Arabidopsis thaliana: one gene and its partner. The protein of the gene in region 1 interacts with the protein of each later gene in a pairwise test. Each region holds a gene or a part of one and is shown on either strand. Other genes may lie near its edges.

What was found. Proteins that work in one complex are often made in the same cells at the same time.
Region 2: the proteins of AT3G13670 (region 1) and AT4G10140 interact in a protein complementation assay, tested with the Arabidopsis thaliana proteins (one large-scale study listed by BioGRID).

Annotation. Positions count from the first base shown.
Region 1 is NC_003074.8:4,467,415-4,474,080, forward strand, and holds AT3G13670 (Protein kinase family protein), read left to right. Parts: upstream 1-1,738; 5' UTR 1,739-2,019; coding exon 2,020-2,403; intron 2,404-2,508; coding exon 2,509-2,637; intron 2,638-2,746; coding exon 2,747-2,820; intron 2,821-2,937; coding exon 2,938-3,007; intron 3,008-3,096; coding exon 3,097-3,152; intron 3,153-3,376; coding exon 3,377-3,448; intron 3,449-3,598; coding exon 3,599-3,693; intron 3,694-3,765; coding exon 3,766-3,832; intron 3,833-3,920; coding exon 3,921-4,050; intron 4,051-4,137; coding exon 4,138-4,356; intron 4,357-4,452; coding exon 4,453-4,595; intron 4,596-4,750; coding exon 4,751-4,925; intron 4,926-5,012; coding exon 5,013-5,103; intron 5,104-5,147; exon of another isoform or gene 5,148-5,212; coding exon 5,213-5,370; exon of another isoform or gene 5,371-5,473; coding exon 5,474-5,662; exon of another isoform or gene 5,663-5,760; coding exon 5,761-5,820; 3' UTR 5,821-6,126; downstream 6,127-6,666. Other genes in the region: AT3G13662 (Disease resistance-responsive (dirigent-like protein) family protein), read left to right, coding at 1-191, 1,051-1,056; AT3G13672 (TRAF-like superfamily protein), read right to left, coding at 6,127-6,666.
Region 2 is NC_003075.7:6,320,441-6,325,232, reverse strand, and holds AT4G10140 (uncharacterized protein), read right to left. Parts: upstream 2,921-4,792; 5' UTR 2,696-2,920; coding exon 2,619-2,695; intron 1,654-2,618; coding exon 1,583-1,653; intron 1,475-1,582; coding exon 1,369-1,474; intron 1,252-1,368; coding exon 1,119-1,251; intron 977-1,118; coding exon 812-976; 3' UTR 539-811; downstream 1-538. Other genes in the region: AT4G10130 (DNAJ heat shock N-terminal domain-containing protein), read left to right, coding at 3,750-4,274.

The sequences.
Region 1 (6,666 bases):
TAGGCTTCTTGATGGTGATGAACTTTGCTTTCACTACGGGGAAGTACAATGGGAGTACGATAACGATTCTTGGGCGGAACGTGGTGATGTCGAAGGTTAGGGAAATGCCGGTGGTCGGAGGTAGTGGAATCTTTCGATTTGCTAGAGGTTATGTCGAGGCTCGCACCAAGTCGTTTGATCTCAAGGCCGGTGTTGCCAATCTACATATACATTTTTGCAGCCATTTTAACAAATAAATCTTAGAGTTGAACTTATTTACAACCCAATGCCATTAGCATTAAATTTTTTTTTCAAAATAATTAATTTTACATTAAATTCTTAATTTAAATTGTCAATCACATTATCAATCAAATTTAATCCAAACAAACTGCACATCAATCCTTTAAAATTAGCATAAAAGTATTTTGTTAACAATATTTTAAAACAAAGTTTTTTGTTTAAATAAATATTGTTCTTACTAAACGTTTTTTGTTTAAATAAACAAATCATGTATTTGAACTTATTTACAATGTCATGCTACTGACATTAATTATTCAGGCATGAAAATATTTAATTAAAGATTTAAATCTTCTAAATTCTTGCTTTTAGAATTATTATATCATTACCTAAAAGGCAAAAAATATTAATTTTTTAATTATTATTATTTATATATTTAAAATTCATAAAACACTATTAATATTTAAATTTATAAAAAGTTTAATATATCAAAAAAATTAACATCATTATATAATATATAGAGTTTAAAAAATCTCAAAAAAAAAATCGTCATATTTTGTGATTCAAAATTTTAAGAATGAACATATATTAACTAATTGGCGAAAAATGTATGGATTCAACGTCCCGCAACGAATAAAATATTTTGACAATGATTCATAAATATATTATAAATAAGATCAACATTAATAAAATAAATAAATTTTTTTTGTGGACGGGTTTGGCGGGACGAGTTTGACAGGATGTTACTTAGTAACAATTGTAAACTATAAAATAATTTACAAATTTTTACATATATTAATTTTAAAAAATGAATTGTCTCCGCGGTGAATCTAGTGTTGAATATAATTGTTATATTCTGCATTACTGAAATAATTAAGTTTGGAATATTGTTCATTTGATTTCATTACTTATTTGTTTTTATGTCTCGTTTTGTTATGAGAGTGTTATTGTCTTTTCCCAAGTTAAATAATGTATTTTATCTTGTAATGGTTTGATTTTATTCATCTAAAAAATAAATAAATAAGTAGTTGTTTATATATACATTAAACATACATTTTTTGGTCAAATTAAGTGGCACAAAGGCTCTACTCCGCGTTAATTTGGAAAATCATCAACTGATTAGCGAATAAATTATTTGAAATTTTGATAGAAAATAAATGTTCAAATAAATATAATGATTAGTTAGCCCAATCACGAGCTAATCAAACCTTAAAAAAAAAACACCAAATCAAACCTATTTATTGTCTAAAACCAATTTTGATATTACACGGAGAAATTAAATAATACATTTAGCTACTTTTTTGTTTGAAATAGAAAAGACATTCAAAATAGTAAACATATAAAACCATTGTAAGAAAAGAAATCAAATTTTTTATTTCTTAACAAAAACGTGAAACGTTTGTTTCCAAATTAGTCGCAAGTCACGGACCGTGTGACGCAAAAAAAGTCCATTCACATCATTATTACATAATTTTTGTCATAAGGAAAATTAATTTGATTTTTCCAAATTTTTTTGGTTCTTCCTCTTCAGAATATCTGACGTGGCATAAATATCGCCTTTTTCACATCGCCTGTCTTCTTTTCTCTCTCCATTTTGGGAACTTTCATCCATAAACTTCTATTTTTCTCATCGCAAACTTGAACCGTCGTAACCCTAAATCGCCATCTTCATCATCGGCAAATCGAATCTCCGATTATATATCAAATAGCTTACCAAATCCGACATGACCCAGGCCCTCGTTTTCGGAGGACTATAATGATCGGACTCTTCGTGTCCCGTCTCGATTGCATGGGGTTTGAGCTATGCCGGAGCTTCGCCGTGGAGTCCGCCGTGGCCGTGTTACTGATGCTGTAGCTCCCAATCAGCTTCCGCAAACACCTACAGAAAAGAAACCGAAGAAGAGTACCGTTAAAGCTCCAAAACCGGTTGCCGGCGGAGTTACAGGAGTTGCAGAGAGGCCGAGGACTAGATTAGCGGCGAGGAAATTAAAGGAGGAAGATAAAGAGATACCTCAGGAGATTCCGGTTGTTGTGCCGTCTAAGGATAGCGATATCGATAAAAACAAGGGTAAAGAGGTAGTCGTTGAAGAAGAGAAGAAAGATATGGCTATTGGTAATGATAGTGGTGGCTCTAACAAGGCGGCTGCTCAGGAAGAAGAAGGAAATACTGCTCCTTTCCCTGAGAGGGTATAATTGATTTGCATAGTTTTTGTGTTGTTTGGGGTTATTGAACTTTTCATTGTAGGCTTGCTTATCATCTTTCTATGGTAATGACTAACGATTCCGTATCAGGTTCAAGTTGGAGGATCACCACTATATAAAGTTGAGAGAAAGCTGGGGAAGGGTGGTTTTGGACAAGTATTTGTCGGACGTCGTATTAGTGGCGGTAATGATCGTAGTGCAGGAGCTAGCATCTTGGAGGTAATATAACTCAGTCTGCGTTTACTGCTGTGGAGGATTGTCACCATAAATATCATTCTATTAGCTTAGTTATGCTTACAGTGTCTCACATCTTCACTTTCTTATATAGGTTGCTCTAAAGTTTGAGCATAGGAGCAGCAAGGGTTGCAACTATGGTCCTCCACATGAGTGGCAGGTTTACAAGTGGGTGTTTCGATTCTCCTGTCTTTCTTTCAATGTTTCTTAAATTCATTTACCTGGATTGTAGGTGCTTCCTTGACTTGAAATGTGAAATTGACATTTTACTTTTATTGTGAACAGCACCTTGGGTGGTAGCCATGGAGTCCCTAGAGTACATTTCAAAGGCAGGCAAGGAGACTATTATGTCATGGTACTGGATTCCCCCTTTCTCCTATTTCTGTTTTTTTCTCCTGTCTGTATCATTGAAGTTAGATCCTCTCTTCTTTGTTTTGGCCTCAGGTTATGGACATGCTTGGGCCTAGCTTATGGGATTTATGGAATACTTCAGGGCAAGCGTGAGTCTCCATTACACATCCTTGGGGAGCTCTTGTCTCTTTTTCAATTAGCGTTGTTTCCATACATGAGTATCCTAAGTTAATTTGGATTCTTTTGGAATTGTGACTTGAAATGTGGTGTTACTCCCTGTTTTTAAAAAAATACATAAGTCCATACTGAGTAACATTTTGCTTTTAAAAAATCGACTTCCCTAACAATTCTTCTCCCCCTTTTTGCTTTGCAGAATGTCCTCGGAAATGGTAGCTTGCATTGCGGTTGAATCACTTTCCATCCTTGAAAAGATGCATGCAAAAGGGTTTGTAATTGAACTTTATTTTTGTTTTTGTATTTAATTAGGTTGTCCGAGGTTTCTTCTGATATCCTGTTTGGAGTCTCGGCACCTCTAAGTTCTTATGTTTTCTCTCTATTAACTAGCCTAACAGGTCATGTTTTACTTCGGTTTCAGTTATGTGCATGGGGATGTTAAGCCAGAAAATTTCTTACTCGGCCAGCCTTCAACGTCTCAAGAGAAAAAACTGTTTCTTGTTGATTTGGGACTAGGTTGATTTCATTCTCTTTGTTATTCTTGCTAGGTTCTTCTTTACCTTTCTCATTTTTCAACCAACTTTTCAGCTACAAAGTGGAGAGAAGGTGGTAGCGGACAACATGTTGAATATGATCAACGTCCTGATATGTTTAGGTAATATATTTTCTACTGTTACCTAATATAATTTGTTTTATACTCGCTCTTACCTTTTGTTGAATCTCTCTCTTCTTAATTTTTATAGAGGGACAGTTAGATACGCAAGTGCACATGCTCATTTAGGGAGAACTGCTAGCAGAAGGGATGATCTGGAATCATTAGCATATACACTGATCTTTCTTCACCGAGGTAGATTGCCATGGCAAGGATATCAGGTACTGCAGACCTATCATTTTGTTTTGTAGAATCATGTTGTTGCATGATTCTTTCTCTGCTAATCCTGTCTCTTACTCAATTTTCAGGGAGATAACAAGTCATTCCTTGTTTGCAAAAAGAAGATGGCAACATCGCCGGATATGCTTTGTTGTTTTTGTCCCCCTCCTTTCAAACAATTTCTTGAGATCGTGGTAAATATGAAATTTGATGAAGAACCCAACTATGGAAAGTTAGTATCTCTGTTTCAAGACCTCTTGGGCGAAAATCCGGCAATTAGGCCTATAAACACAGAGGGTGCTCAAAAGGTGACATTTTCATGCTGTATATCTTTCCCTTTCGTTCCTATTTGGATATCTAGGAGTTGTTGTTTAACATCTTGTAATTGTTTTCTTTTGTGCTAGATCATATTCCAAGTTGGCCAGAAGCGAGGTAGGTTGAGCATTGGGGAGGAAGAAGAAGATGCCCCTAGGAAAAAGGTCCGTCTAGGAGTCCCTGCAACGCAATGGATATCGATTTACAATGCCAGGCAACCAATGAAGCAGAGGTAAAAAAATTCATGGTTAATTATTTATACAGTCAGTTAACTGCTGGGACTGCGTTTGTGTCTCATTTTTTCTCTTGGTTATATTATAATCTTGGATTTTTGGCCTTAATGTGTCTAAAACTATTTTTGGACTCACAATTTATGTGTTTAACCAGGTATCATTATAATGTGGCTGATATAAGACTGGCACAGCATATTGAGAGAGGTATTGCAGATGGTTTGTTGATAAGCTGTGTATCATCATGTTCGAATCTCTGGGCATTGATAATGGATGCTGGAACTGGCTTCACGCACCAAGTCTATGAACTCTCTCCTGTATTCTTGCACAAGGTTGTCTGATGTTTCTCTGTTAGTTATTTTTATATCTGTGTTCTGTCAAGATGATCTTACCTGAGAGTGAATTCTGTTTTGAATCAGGAATGGATTATGGAGCAGTGGGAGAAGAACTACTACATTAGTTCTATTGCTGGTGCAAGCAATGGAAGCTCCTTAGTTGTCATGTCAAAAGGTATCTACACTTTTCATGAATACTTTTGAACACTTTCGTCATTATGGTATTTTACTAGTCTCTGAATTTGTGGCTTATTCTATGTTTGGTTTTCAAATGAATTATGAAGGTACGCAGTATACACAGCAGTCTTACAAAGTAAGCGATTCATTCCCGTTCAAGTGGATAAACAAGAAATGGAGAGAAGGCTTCCATGTAACCTCAATGGCAACAGCTGGAAATCGATGGGGTGTTGTTATGTCCCGCAATTCTGGCTACAGTGAACAGGTTAGACTTCACCGATATAGATGAATTTCTTCCGTTTCCTTCAGTTTTGGATCTGTCGCGTTGATTTCTAATTCTCCTGTTTTCGCTTATATCTCCTCTACAGGTTGTGGAACTTGATTTTCTGTATCCAAGTGAAGGCATCCACAGGCGTTGGGATGGTGGATTCAGAATCACATCAACAGCAGCCACAACCGATCAAGCTGCTCTCATCCTAAGCATCCCACGTCGTAGACTTGTTGATGAGACACAAGAGACGTTACGTACCTCTCAATTCCCCAGCACACACGTCAAGGTGAGTAGAGCAGCTATAAAAGATTACTAATCAATATCTTGAACTCTTTTTCTCCCTTCCCATGAACAATACCGGAGATGCAATTTTCTGTTGTGCAGGAAAAATGGGGAAAGAATCTCTACCTTGCATCGTTAAGCTATGGCCGAACTGTATCTTGAGACTTATTAGTAAAAACTGTTGAAGGACGAGAGAAATATGTTTCTAAGTCTCGGCTCCTATTCCTTATCCAACCCTATGGCCTCTCAGGCTCTGTTGTGCTTCTTCTTTTTTTTCAGTTGAATTGTGAAGCAAAAATGTGGTGATTGTGTTGTTTATTCCCCCCTTGTGAAGGGGATTGAGCCATAATCACCAGTTTACCTACACATTTCCCTCGAAATTGCTATATTTAATTTTTAAATCAAGAAAAGATATTTTTGTCACCAAATATTCTATAGTTGTCCAATTCTGTAACCTAATTATCGAATTCATATCGAAACAGGCTGTTCTCTCCATACACGACCTGAAACCTTCAACTTCAGCTCCTTGTCGGTGGTGTTGTTGTCGGTAGAGAAGAACAAAGCCAATTTGCGAGTGATGATTAAGCCATCTTGACTATCACGAACCGTCTTGTGACTGTCACGAATGCTCCTCGGCACGCCTTGCCATGTCAGCTTTCTGCCATTCCCTCCGACCTGCAAACTATAGCTGAAGCTCATTGCCTCTTCTTCATCTCCCATAAACTGCATGAAGGCCATGTACATTGGTGTTTTCCTCAGGTGAAACGCTTCGAAGTACAAGCAGAATTTTCGACCACAACAATCGAGAAGCTGCATCGTTTCAAGTGGGTTAAAACTTAAAAATTCACAAAGTTGCAGAAACAGAGCAAGATAATCAGTTATATAACTTACTGTTAACATCCAAGTAGCATGATGAAGATGTTTAGGATCATGATGAACATATCTGTGACTGAAACTACGCCCATCACTCATTTCAACATTGTGATCATTCCTTAGATGCAGTAGTAG
Region 2 (4,792 bases), on another chromosome or scaffold:
TTTTAATGTCAATAGGATTCATTCTATAAACAAAAATATACAGAATATTCAGATATGGATGATGAACACATCAGCTTTGATCACTCCCACGGACGCGGAGATTCGCAGATTTGCCTTCTCGCTTTGCTTTTTAGTTTTGTCAACGCTTCTTGTACCTTATTGGTACGAACCAAGAGACACTTTTCACAGATTCTTCTTTTGAAATATTCATTGTCAACTTCTAAAGTCAATGGCTTTTGTTATAAGTTCTCTCCAAGTTGGTATATCCGAATGAGAAGAGTTCTTAAGAGGACCATTTTTACACCACAATAAAAAGGCCAATGTTTACTTTGAGAGAGATTCGAAGTGGCATTTCGATATTGGGTTGGATTCTGTTCGATTTAGTATTACAGTAGTTTGGTTTGGTTTTAATGTAATTAAAAAAGGTTATTGGTTCAGTTCGACTTCGAACCAAACCGAACAGATCAGGTTGAAGAATACTTTAACCAGGCAGTTATGTGCATGGATTTTACTTTGGTTTTGGGTTGGGATATAATGGTTACCTCTAACAGAAACACAATCAATTTAGTTATCAATATAAGAACAAACCCATAAAAAATGGGCTTTACCACCAAGTTTAGGCGTTCAAATGTAACCACCAATATTTTTGGTTACTAACATTTTCAAATGAGTTTAGAAACAAGAGTGTGAGAATTTGACAATGCAAGTGTGGTATATACGCTATACATTAGTCTCTATGCATATTTATGTTACAATTTCGAGGGCTTCGTGTTGATAAAAAGAACAGTGAGGTTTCTAAGTCTTGTTGAATTTAAGCGTCTCTTGGCTTTGGGTTGAGCTCCGTCTCCATACTTGTAGGTAGCTTCTGGGTTGAAGCAACGCCGCCGAACTTGCGGACCAGGATTGTGAAACATGGCAGCAATACAACGTATAACGTAATAAAGAAAAATGGAGTTGCTACGAGCCACCCTAGTAACTGCAATAACCATAGGACTTAAAATAAGACTTGCAAGTTACTAATGATAAGAGCACAAAAGATTAGGCTAGGGAATGCAAAAAGCGGTTCGACATAGTTCCCCCATTAGCTAAGAGAAACGAGACTCATTGTAGCTACTTACCGCATTACCAATGCTTAAAAAGACTTCTTGAGAGGCTTGACCAGTGAAAACCTTCTTTAGAGCATCTGATGTCAAAGGAAAATGAGGTCCACCAGTAACTTTTTCACCAAGTCTTAGGAAAGGAACCACGAGACTTCAATAAGAAAGACATGAAAAGGAAATCCAAAATCCAAGTCAGGAAGAAAACTGATATGCATCGTCTTTCGATAAAAGTGGTAATTTCAAAAGATTTAAATGATATAAGGTTTACGCTAGTTCCACTGGAGTGGCAATGATATTAGCCAACATTACGGTCGGAGCATGACAAGATGATCCGAGCAAGGCAAAAGCTACTCCACATAGTAACACAGGAACACCTATTTTATAACAAAAACCACACCAAATAAGGTACATAGCAATCTCAAAACGCAACAACGCAAGAAGCAGTAAGCTTAGGAAATAGCAAAATGGCGAGAAATACGCACCACATATCGGAAATATCCCCAAGGTAATACCAAGTGCAGCAGAGAAAGCAAGCTGCTTTGGCTCAGTACCTCTACGAAAATTGAAAACAAAAACAAAATCAAACTCAAATCACTTCACAACATCAAATTTTCTGCAACAGAGACAGAGATGTTGATACATCTATCTCTAACAGATGCCCAAAAGTTCCTATATGAGCAACATGAAGATACAAGGATAACGCTTTTGCCTTTAACAGTTCTAAATGGGTCTCTCTTGTATTCCAATAACAAAGAAAGAGATTTTCTTAAAATCCTTTAGAAACTACATGATGATACAAGCATAAAGACTCTGTCTTTAACTGTGCTGATACATCAGTCTCTAACAGATGCCCAAAAGATCCTTTAAGAGCCACATGAAGATCTAAGAATAAAGACTCTACCTTTAAATGTTGTAAATGGTCTCTCTTGTGTTACAATAACAACTAAACAGATGTTTTCAAGATCCTTTAAAACTACATGAAGATACAAGAATAAAGACTCTACCTTTAACTATTATAAATGGTCTCTCCTGTGTTCCAATAACAACTAAACAGACGTTTTAAAGATCCTTGAGAAGCTACATTGAAGATACAAGAATAAAGACTCTACCTTTAACTATTATAAATGGTCTCTCCTGTGTTCCAATAACAACTAAACTGATGTTTTAAAGATCCTTGAGAAGCTACATTGAAGATACAAGAATAAAGCCTCTACCTTTAGCTGTTCTAAATGGTCTCTCTTGTGTTCCAATAACAACTAAACAGATGTTTTTAAGATCCTTTAGAAGCTACAAGTATAAAGACTCTACCTTTAACTATTCTGTATAGTCTCTAATGTTCCAAATTAAGTAACCAACAAGAAGCAAAATGCAAAACTACAGCTTTTAAAGACCAATGATCACAAAGTTGCACATGAGATCTATCTGATTCAATAATCAATAAGCAGAATATGAGTGACCAAACTAGTCCTAATTAACAGATCTATGTAAAAGAGAGACAAAGAGTCAAAGAAGACAAACCTACGCAAGATCTGGAGAAGAGGATCAGTGATTTTCTTATTGAACCATGCTTTTAATCTACCTTTTGATAAACCCATCACGATTCTACAAAATCTTCACGAAAATTAATTCTCCCCAGAAAAAGTTAACAGATTTCACACAAATGAACGTTGATCGATCGTCTTTTGCGCGTCTCTTCACGGAACCAGTTGAAGATGGGTATTTCCGTAAACGGGTTTGCGTAATCGGGTCAAGTATTGATTTTTTTAAATCAGGCCCAAGCCCAAACATTTAAGATCCCAAAATGATTTAAGCGACCCGATTCGAAAAATCCGGTTCAATTATCGGTTAGCATATACCCAAATTAGAATTGTTTCGGGTTTCAGTTTTGTCCGGGTCAGATCTAAAATTCGAACATGTCTTCGTAAAAAACCCAAAACAATATACATATGATAATCATATGTCCGATGGATAACATATGACTGTACAAATATTTTAATTACAAACATGAGAGATAATTTTTTATGGAATAATGTAAAAATGTACGGAAATATAGTACATAAAAATTATACAAATACTAAAAGTAATGTTTTAAGTGACACTTTTGATATTACTTTTAAGATTGATAATTGTCAAAACGGTATATTTTATACTTCAACGGTATATTTTAGTCTTGAGTATACTGGATCTAAAATATCTGAATCGACTCAAAATAACAAATTCGGTTCGGTTCAGATTTATATGTTTAAAACTTTGAAAATGTTACGTTTTTTTGAATTGTTTGGTTTTATGACTTTCATGGTTTATAGAATAATTCGGGTTAAAAAAACCGAATCAAAATATCGTTCAATCATAGGTTGGGGACCTTGGGGTTTAATCAAATTTCAAAAACCAACCCGAATCCGAGAATACCATAACCAAACCGAGCTAACCGAAACAATTTCGGTTCTCTTTTATATAGACCCAATCTTCCCAGAATTACCCGAAATCCGGAAGAAAGACTGATCCGAATCGACCCGAAAACCCGAATGGTCAGACGAAGAAACCAACACACTAAAAACTCTTGGTCTCTTTATCCTCCGAATTTTCTCGCCGTCGCCGGTGAATTTTGAGCCCTAGCACCGTCGTGAATTAAGGAGGATTCAACAAATCATGCTTGTCGGTGAGAATTGTGTTCACGAGACATACTACGAGATTCTCTCCGTGAAAGAAGATGCTAGCTATGAAGAAATCCGAAATAGCTATCGTTCTGCGATTCTCCACTCTCATCCAGATAAGCTCAACAATACTTCTCGTTCTAGCTCAGACGACGAGAAGTTTCTGAAGATTCAAAAAGCTTGGGAAGTTCTAAGCGATGCAGAGCTACGTGTAGTTTATGATAATGATCTTAGATCTTCAAGACATGATGGAATCACTGCTGATGAGATTAGTATTGAGGATATGTCAGTGGAGATTACTGGTGATGTGATTGATCTTTTTTATCAGTGTAGGTGTGGTGATTACTTTTGTGTTGATTCTAGTGAGTTAGGAACAATGGGGTTTGCTTTGTTGAGAGATGGTGATTTTGTTTATGTTAAGAGATTGGGTGCTTTTGTGGCGTCTGTTGTTCTTCCTTGTGGTTCTTGTTCTTTGAAAACACGAGTTTGGGTTGATTCTGATATGAAGATTCCTATCTAGGATGGTCTATTGTGAGCAAGGTGGTGATTTGGGTTGGTACAGAATTGAGTAATCTCTATTCAAGATGAGTTTTTAAGACTGAAGTGATCGTCATGGTCTGGTTCGGAGGAGGAGTTCTGATTGAGGATGGTTATTTGTGATTGTGTGGATAGGTTCATATAGGAAAAGTATGGATGGAGATGATTTCTTGTGACCAATGTGATCTCCTGCAAGCTTTTCTGTTGTGAGTTTTTTGTACTCATTTAATATAGTTGTTGAACAACTTTTAGTTTGTAAGGAACTTAAATTATAATGAGAAACAAAAGGGCCCTTTGGTTTTGCTACTCTTTTTTCCCTCTCTGGTTTCAGTTATGTCTCCTTTTAAATTTGCTGGAAGCTGAATATTCACGTGAAATTATCTTTATTTTTGCGTTCTTGCGAATATCTGATTCAGAACCTTCTTAAAGTTTTACTGTGCGTACGTTTGCGGATAAGAACCTGACTGAGAAGAAGTGATGTAGGTGTACTTGCAGTAGTAC